2 linked regions of the Arabidopsis thaliana genome follow. The protein of the gene in region 2 interacts with the protein of the main gene of each other region in a pairwise test. Each region holds a gene or a part of one and is shown on either strand. Other genes may lie near its edges.

What was found.
Region 1: the proteins of AT1G62975 (region 2) and AT1G72570 interact in a two-hybrid assay, tested with the Arabidopsis thaliana proteins (one large-scale study listed by BioGRID).

Annotation. Positions count from the first base shown.
Region 1 is NC_003070.9:27,329,540-27,334,344, reverse strand, and holds AT1G72570 (Integrase-type DNA-binding superfamily protein), read right to left. Parts: upstream 2,965-4,805; coding exon 2,877-2,964; intron 2,782-2,876; coding exon 2,184-2,781; intron 2,005-2,183; coding exon 1,922-2,004; intron 1,796-1,921; coding exon 1,787-1,795; intron 1,631-1,786; coding exon 1,542-1,630; intron 1,312-1,541; coding exon 1,238-1,311; intron 1,135-1,237; coding exon 1,084-1,134; intron 983-1,083; coding exon 906-982; intron 826-905; coding exon 647-825; downstream 1-646.
Region 2 is NC_003070.9:23,326,688-23,331,548, reverse strand, and holds AT1G62975 (basic helix-loop-helix (bHLH) DNA-binding superfamily protein), read right to left. Parts: upstream 2,823-4,861; 5' UTR 2,649-2,822; coding exon 2,331-2,648; intron 1,799-2,330; coding exon 1,397-1,798; coding exon of another isoform or gene 1,373-1,396; exon of another isoform or gene 1,087-1,372; coding exon 1,027-1,086; 3' UTR 737-1,026; downstream 1-736. Other genes in the region: AT1G62978 (uncharacterized protein), read left to right, coding at 1-87.

The sequences.
Region 1 (4,805 bases), 4.0 Mb from region 2:
TTGTTTCTTGACGGCTAGATATTTGTCCGGCTTTGTAACCGAGCATATAAATAAAATAAAAATTATATAAAAAGTTTTTTTTTTTTTTTTAACATCTGATATTACTTTAGTTTATCTCAAGAAGTCCATAGAAACCTTCAAATTTCCATTGACACCAATTATTTTCACCATGGCATGAGGGAATTAGCTCGATACGGGTTCAAAATTAATCAAACTATCAAAGGCTTGGATGGATTTGATTATGAGTTAAATAAGTTTCACTTAAATTTGTAACGCTTTTCCTTAAAGTACGACCACGACAGAAGAAGGCACACAAATTGAGGAATCGCCTCTCCTCAACTTGGTGCAGTTAATATATACTAATTAATTAACACTTATGTTATGGATCCTGTAAATAATGAATGCATTAACTTTTTTCAATTAAAAATAAAAACGAAATTTAATCAAAGTATATCATAGAGAATAATATATAGTGGATTCTGATAACTTAATTTGCTAAAAAAGTTGTATATATGTAGACCGGCCTCAATTACTTAGGAATATATGTTTATTAAACCATAAATGATTAAACAGACTGGACGAACTTATTTCCTCAAACCAACCGTACGTGGGAATAGTCTCTCCGGCGAGGAGTTTACGGTGTCGGTTAGTGGCCGGCGCCAGAGCTGGTGGGAGAATGTTTGGCCTGGTCGCTATCAACAATCGTTGAGCTTGAACATATCCTCTTCACGTCATATCTATTTATATCGAAATTGGTTACAGCGTTTAGGCCTCTGAATTTAATTGCCGCGATATCGTACGCCTCCGCTGCTTCTTCTTGCGTGCCTTCATCATAGTTACAAAATGTGATATTTAATAATTCAAAGGCTATGATATAATTCCATATGTATAGAAGTGGTTCATACTAAATGTTCCAAGGTACAAGTCCTTGTTTCCAGCAACTCTTCCAATTCTGGCTTGCCACCTTCCATGTTGATGATGCCTACATGAGTTATACATGCATGATCATCATGATCTAATTCCATGCATGTACATGTACATATATAAATATATACAAGTTTCACATATATGTCCAAATCAAACCTTGTAACTCCTCTATACACGGAAGCTCCCCTCGAAAACCCGCTGCTATTCCTATGATTATGATATGTAATTACAAAGCGTTTGTTAATGGTTAAATGCATATGACTATATAAGGTCCATAAATATCATTACAAACCCACTGTTGAGTAATTACCTCCTCAACATGGCAACAAATTCTTGCCGATTCATGTTATTGAGTTCCTCGATCTCCTTTTCGTAATTACTCAACTGAATAAAAGAGCGTCAAAGGAACTGATATCACAAGCCAAATCTATGTAGTTCCATCAAAATCAAGTCAATAAAATCGGAAAATGATTACATTCAAGATCCAAAATATCGAAATAAGTATGGAAACTGTTATGTTGCATGTATATAAGTGTACATATATAAAACACACTTGCATGTAATAAAGGAGTTAGAAGTGGAGCTAGGTACGGGACCAGAAAGATCAAACTCACAGGGAAATTTAAGTGAGTGGTAGGACCCCAATACTTCAGAGCCGCTAAATCATATGCCCTCGCTGCTTTCTCCTCCTCATCATACCCTCCTATTTTAGTAAGTATTAATTCTACTATTAAATGTTTTTCTATAATTATCAGAAGGTAACAAGGTTAATTTTTACTTCGAAGGCCAAAAATAGGGCAACAAGAAATGAACGAGGGATCTCATGCATAATAGGTTGTAAAATAAAGTTCTGGCTTACCAAGATACACTGTGATTGATCAAGAAGCGAATTCGAAAGTACATACGAAGCCAAAATTAAATAATTGTTAGTAAGATTATTGATGCATGATAGCATATTGAATCGGAAAATTATTTTGTATTTGTTTTTTCTGACCTTGTCTTCCTCTCCTTGTCTGTCCCTCCTTCTTACAGCTATTATCCCATAAGTGAGCTTCATATCTCCCTGTCCATCTATGCCTGTATACACGCACAACATAAATATGTGTCGACACAATTATACATAATCTACAAAATAAAATGACAAATATACATAAGTAACATAATTGTGGCATTCACATTTTTCTTACGTGTAAGTTTGAGACATCATTTAAACCAAAACAAATGTTTGAGACGTCATTATTTAATAACGTACGTACCTTGTAACTCCACGATACTGAGAAGTTCTTTGTCCATAACTATCAACCGACTTCCGAGGAACGGATTCCTTTACCTGAGGTTTAACAACCAATCTCTTCCGCTTCTCATCTACCTTAACCGGTTCTTCGACCCGTGCGGATACATTCGATTCGTTGATCAAATCAGAACAAGCCCCATGGCTCAAAGCCAATGATAGCATTGAGCCATTGGTGTTATAACCAGTCTCTTCGTTACTAAAATGACTAATATTATTGCTCGTACCAGCCTCTTCAGTAACGTAATGACTCGAGAGTGGGAATGCTGGAGTGCCTTGCTCTAACCAAGATTTGAAAACCGAGACCGAACCGACCCTCTCAAAACCTCCATAATCATTGCTAAGGTTCGGATCTAGGTTCGGGTAATGTGGTGTAACTACGGTTTGGTCGTGGAGAAGGTAACCGGGTGGGTTTAACCTGTTAACCACAGTGGTGCAGTTGACATTGGTTTGGTTATGGTTTATAGGATACTCGGTTTGATGAGAGTTTGAGAGGAGATCTTCCACCTTTGGAACGTCTTCATCATGATGATGATGATCAAAGTTAATATCATATCTCCAAACTACACATAAAATAGAAATCAAATTAAGAATATTAATAGTGGCCACACCAACAACATATATATACCAGGGGGATGATGTGTGAAGAAGAGAGTACCATCGGAACCGTCATGCCTAAGTTCTTCTTCTTCACTATTGCAGATTCTCAAAGGAGGTGTCAATGAAAATCCCAACCATTTCTTCATCTCTCTCTCTCTCTCTAGCTGTCTTTCTCGCTCTTAGTTTATATGTATAGGGTTTCGTTTTATATGATTTGTAGTCTCATACGTGCGAATATACATTAATATTTTTCATAAGTCTAAAACATTTAATAAATTATATAATTAAAAAGGTGGAAAAAAGATTTGAGACAAAACAGGTGGCGGTGAAGTTTTGTCGTAAGCATGAAAGAAAGGAAGAGGAAGTTTCTCTCTCCCTCACTCTTTCACATTCTCTTTCACACACACTTGCATCTGACTTCTAGAGTTTTGTGCCCACTCTCCCTCGGATCTTTTCGATGTATACGTATATATATATGGGAGATACACATGACACACTACAATGAAAATTTTCGTTCTTTGGTATTTGATTAACTTTTCCGTAAAAAAAGCACACAGTAGCGCTTAAAAAAGTCAGTATTTTGTTTCTTTCGAAATATGTTAATTAGACAATAATACATTTCTTTTATTAATGTCTTTCTTTCGATATAATTTGGGATATTTTTTAATAAACTTAAAGAACATTACATAATTTAAAAGTAAACAAAATTTGTACTAAAATTAGTAGTATTGCAAGGAAATTTCTCCTTAGACGATAAAAATGTGTTTTTGATTGCTCATTCAATCGATCCGTTTGAAAATGATTCTAACTGTGATGGAGAAGCCTGAAATGATCTTGCTGTTTTCGCAGATTAGACAAAGATCAATCTAAAAGATAAAAGATATATATAGCTGGAGTGTTTGGCAATATGCTATCTAACTCATAAAATTTGCCTCAAGTGTGAGAAGCGGATAATGTGACGGTATAACCTTTGAAAACAGACACACAAAATATGATAGAACAAAAGAATAAGTGATCTCTCTTATTTGGTTGATTATATTGCATATGTTGCTTATAGATAGAAAATGAAATTGTGTTCCAAGCTGTTAACCAAGACTTAGTGGGTAGTTTGTCCATACTCGCCACCCACATAACGAAATGTCGTTCTACACAAAAAGCCACAATTGTTTTCTTTAACAACTGAAAAATGAATTTGTGATTTTATATCTTGCTACGGGCATCGGAAATATTCCAACCTCTTCTACGAGGTAATCGACAATGCCATTACAGAACAAACCTTTTCTTACAATTACCTAGTTTGTAGTATACAAAATAAAAATCGAGAGGTCTTAGCTACAGAAGTTGTCTCCATGAATAATTTCACAGTAAGTAGTTTAGTTATATGTATTAATGTGACAATTTGTTTTATAAAACATTAGATTAAGAAAGTGAAAAAACACCATTATATTTGCTAACTCACAAAACATTTATACATGTCTATCTTAATCTATCAGTATGCAACACCTAAGGCCTAAGGTGAGAGAGATTCAAGCCCATGGGCTGATTTACTGAATTCAGATGACGGTTAATTTTCAATTCGCTGGCAATAATATTTATAGTTCTCTGGGAAAATATTCTGCAAGCTAATAAAAATCTGTGTATAAAAAAAAAAAAACCCTACAGCTCCGTCTTCTCTCCAGTCTCACAATTTTCCTCATATTTATAAATCCGTAAGGGAAATTTTCTAGAAACTCACCAAAAAAAAGTATTCTTTGAATTCAAAGAGAAACCCAAACTAGGGTTTCCATAATCCCTTTTCTACTATATCTCCCACTCTCATAAATCCGATCGCTAAAATCGCCACGATCCTTACTTTCTGGTAAGCTCTCAAGCGAAACCCACTAAAAGTTTCGTCTTTTTCTTCTTCGCATCAAAATCTGATAAGGGAAGAGAACAGTGAAGGAGAGAAGCTAGCTGACGATACTAATTCAAGGCATTGTTTGACTTG
Region 2 (4,861 bases):
GTAAGTAATGGACGTGCGTTCATGTTTGTTTTGGTCTGTGCCTCCCTTCGCATTCTAATTATTTTATTAGTTAGTTTTACTTTCTAATGTCTTCATATATTTTTCTTTCATTTTTTTTGTTTTGGTCAAATTTATAACAAAAGGTGTCTAGTTGATAACATATCACTTCATTTATTAATCACTGGCAGAATAATGAGATTGCTTCTTTTCTTTTGTTATATTATGAGAGGGAATATGTTTTGACACCACGTATCGTATTCGGACCAAAGACCAATTAGACTATTCTCCACAACCAATTTTCGAACTAGGATAATGTCGACATTCTCCTAAAACTTATAAATCTATTGAAGAATATGATGATATCTAAAGAAAGCTACAAATTATATTTTTTTAATTATTCATTCAAATTTCAAAAATGAACGTACCTAACATGTTAAGATATGATTTTGTTACAAGTTTAGCAAGGTCCCAATTTTTATATCTATCAAAAAAATCACTTGTGACCGATTTTTAAAGGAATGTTAATGGAAAAATTGTTGTCCAATAGGGTATTTTAATCCCAAAGAAATTATTGAGCAAATGACTAATTGATTATCATTTCCATATCTCCAACTAGCCAGTCAAGAATCTCTCATGTTTCTTGTAATTACCACTTTTCCTAAGCTTTTTACTAAGATTGGACTTGCATATGTTTGGAGATGTTTTATCCATATTTTAGAGATTCTATATATACACCCTTGTAACGATCATATATTTTCTATTTAATAATAGTAATTAAAATGAAGTATATCATAATTAGAATGCCAAGAAAAACAAACTTTATTTTACAAAAAAAAAAATGAAAAACAAGCATTAGTTTGTAACATTAATCTAAGCACTCAGAAGTAAGCCGATACACTAAAATAGCATGATCTTAGTATCTAACAACTCAAATAATGCATACATTGAAATTCAGTAAAATTCCAATTTCAAACCACGTAATATTTTCATTTGTCATAGTAACTAATTTTCTTCTTGTACATGGGGCTACATAGTCATTATTTTATCCTTAAGCTCCAAAATATTGATCTGTTTGCCATCCTCCACCTGAAAATTTGAAATGAAATGATGATTAGTGTCAATTTTGTTTTTAGAAAATTAAGGCAAGAAAAGATCAAACACTAAAACTTTTTTTTAGAAAATTAGTAATTTATTTATCTAATTCTAATTTCAGGTAAGTATATTCATTGTATTTTTGATAACCACAAAAGTAGTTTACAAACAGATTATAATTTGTATAGAAATTAGCAAATAAAATGGTATGTGAACTAAAAACTGATATTAGCAACTATGATAGACCCAAAAGTTTGTAAATTCTTGTAACCTTTTCTCTTTATATTTTTAGTAACAATTTTACCTGCGAAACAATGGTGTGCATGAATCTCTGTTGCCGTCTAGCTGAGAGGCAACTAACTACACTGAACCTTTGTTCTTGAGCTAACATTTGAAGAACACTCGAGAGACAAGACTTGTTTCGTCCGAGACAACAACTTATGATGATCTCAACACCAACTAAACAAGGTGTGACCACAACAGTAATGTGTTTGTCTCCTACACATGAGCAGCTTGATGATAGTGTTGATGCTGCTGATGATGATAAACTACTGGTGCATTCCTCTATAGCTGAATGAGTAGTAGTTGTGGCCGATATGACTTTTTTTACCCGATTTCTCTTTTCGTTGAGTTCTTTGATTTTGATTTGTAAGTCTTTGATGTAGTTCACTGCCTGCACGATGTGATCTGATGTCGAGCGTTTACCCTGTATGTTAAATGATATGGTCATGCTTAGAACAACTAACTAGCAATTATTTGATTCAAGAATGTACTTGGATATATTAACTAGTGTTAAGAAAAAAGAATGAACTCATCAGTTTAAGAAGATGTTTCCTTGATGTGGTATCCAAAATTCGAGTATTACACTACGTTGAAAAAAAAAACTATTTGTCAAAATTTCAATTTATATATTTTAGATATTAATACGAATGTGTAAGAGTTTCTAATTCTATGTATAAAGTGGTACCACAATATATATACGAAAGATTTAATTATGTAAAAAAATTGTTTTAAAAGTATATACGAAAGCATGAATGATCGAATAGTTAGTAAAAGCTTTCAAAACTAAGGTTCTCTATATACTTTCCTTTTCAATGGAAAGAAAACTGCTCGCTTGCACTTTAACAAATGAAATGGTTTTGTAAATTAGTATGTAATTAAGGACTATATATAGAGATAAAAATATAAAATATTTCTCAAGCTAATCATAATGAAATATCTCCCACTAGATAACTTACCTGGATATATTGAAATGGCAAGAGAGTTCTTAGTCTTTTGAAAAGAGATGAAACTTCTTGTCTTCTTTGCCTTTCAATGTCTCTATGTTTCATCTTCTTGCTCTCTCGATCATCATCATTTTTGTTGGCTTCATTCGCACCATATGTTATATCACACAAACTTCGTTTCTTATTGCTTCCACCAATTTTGTTTGTGATCGAATGGAAAACATCATTGTTTTGGTATGATATAAACGGAGAAAGAAGAAAAGAATCAGAAAATAGTAATCCATCTTCGTAGGTTGAATCAGGCATAAACAATGAAGGAACACAATCCATTGGAATTTGATATCTATGAGTACTTTTAATTTGGTTTGATTTTTCTTGTAGTGTTGTGACTTTCTGGCTTGTGAGGCTCTTTATACTTGCCTCCAAGATTTGTTTCTTCTCCTCTTTAATTGGACAGATGTGATGATAGGTTAGTGATCGATCTCGAAGAAACTAAAATCTCCACAAAATATGAGTAGTTGGGATTAAATTAAAGATGATAGTAATAATACTATTAAATTAAACTTTGCGCTGTTCATTTAGTGGCCATTTAATAATCACGTCAAATAAGAATGGGAACGTATGTTTTAAATGTGCTTGAACATATACATCTCACCTTCATTACACACCACCTAAGTTTTCAACTCCAATAAATTTCAGCTTCACAATAATTCTTAATCCATGGGTTTCATATAAAAATATATACAGATGTTTACACTTAAACATTCATACAAATGGATATGTTACAAATTCTTATGAAATTTTTGATAATACTATCCTATCTATCTCAACGGAATTGAAAATTCTATTGGACCATCAATTAGTAGGATGGTCGGCAATTTTTTCGACCGGAAACAAGACAACATATGTTGTTCAGAATCTAATACTATGTTAAGTTTCATGGTTCCAACTCAAAGGTTAATAACAAGATTATCTCATATCATTTATATATACTAATCAAGTCATTTCCCTTCTTACTGTTGTAAAAAATTTCTCCACAAAATGTTGAAATGGATTTTATTTTGGTTATTGACTCTTCACTTGAATTTCCAAGCAGTATTCAATTACATATATAAGATATATACAAAATTTAAAGTTTTTTTTTCTGGTCAAAAAATACTCCATCTGTTTTATTATAGTATAATATGATACTTTAGAGATTCTGTTTTTCATTATATATATGATGTTTTACAGATTTCTATGTTAACTGTAAATATATTTGTTTTTAATGGATATTTGTATTTTGCAGTCTTTTATATAATTAATTGAATTTTCTTTAATCAAGTATTAAATGATAGTTGTTAAAGAAAAGATAAATTTCTTAAAGTGTGTGTGTTTTATCTAAAACACCATACTCTCACCATTTATTAATAAGTGCCATATAAGGTTTTGATATAATACATAGAATATTAAGAAAACAAATACTTCCTCTGCTTTAAAGTATTTGTCTTTTAAGGTTTTTGCACATCAATTAAGAAAATAATTAAATTTTATTTTATTTTTACTCAATATATTCTCTAAATGTTTTAATTGGTCAAGATATCAAAACTTTGAGGAAAAAACTGGAATTTTTACCAAACATTTGCCTTAAAGATCTAAAATGACAACGAGACAAAATTTAAGTGGTAAAATGATAAATTAATTAAAACGGAGAGAAGAAACATTTTTTTTTTACTTTTTATCAATATACAAAAAATAACCGTCAATTCACTAAATCAATAGATTCAGTTGTAACTTTGATCAAAAGTCGGCATTACAAATATAAAACAACATTTATTTTAAAACAAAATTTAGTATATATGTAAAATGACACTTAATTTAGAACGTAGGAAGTATATTTTAAAACAAAGAGTACTTAACACAGCTAGAGTTCAGATTTCGGATCTTAGCTGAATATTTGCTTAGCTCGTGCAGCATTGATGGACCAAACTGTATTTCTTCTCTTGGACCAAACATTTACTGTTTTTGAACGAAGACCGAAGATTATTGATTTGTGTCAATTATTAGTATATTGTTGTTGCTACCAATTGTTAATGTCATCTCTTCATCATTTATTTTGAGTAGTTATGTCAAGGTTTCTTGATTTTATTTTCCACATTTAATTGAATATAAGAAGATTGACATGTATTTATTGTATACATGATAAGGTGTAGTTAATTACCATAAATAATTTAATCAAATAAACTTTATTAACTCATTATTTGTGAAATTAATATTATGACTGACTGATTTTTATTTCAAAAACTTTAAATAATTCTTAGTTTTGAGGTTATCGACTTATTATGGCACATGTTTTTTTTTTAATATATTTTCATTACAAATAAAACGAGCCATCAAGTTTAAGTCGGCAGATACAAATTATGTGACAGCTTAGTTGAATTTGAAGTTAAACTTAGACTAAAGAGAAAACACAAATCTTTTGTAAAGGTTTATTAGTATAGTGAAAAGGAGATTAAGTAAGATTCTTGTATTTAATTAATAGTAATGACGCGCAATAATTAAGG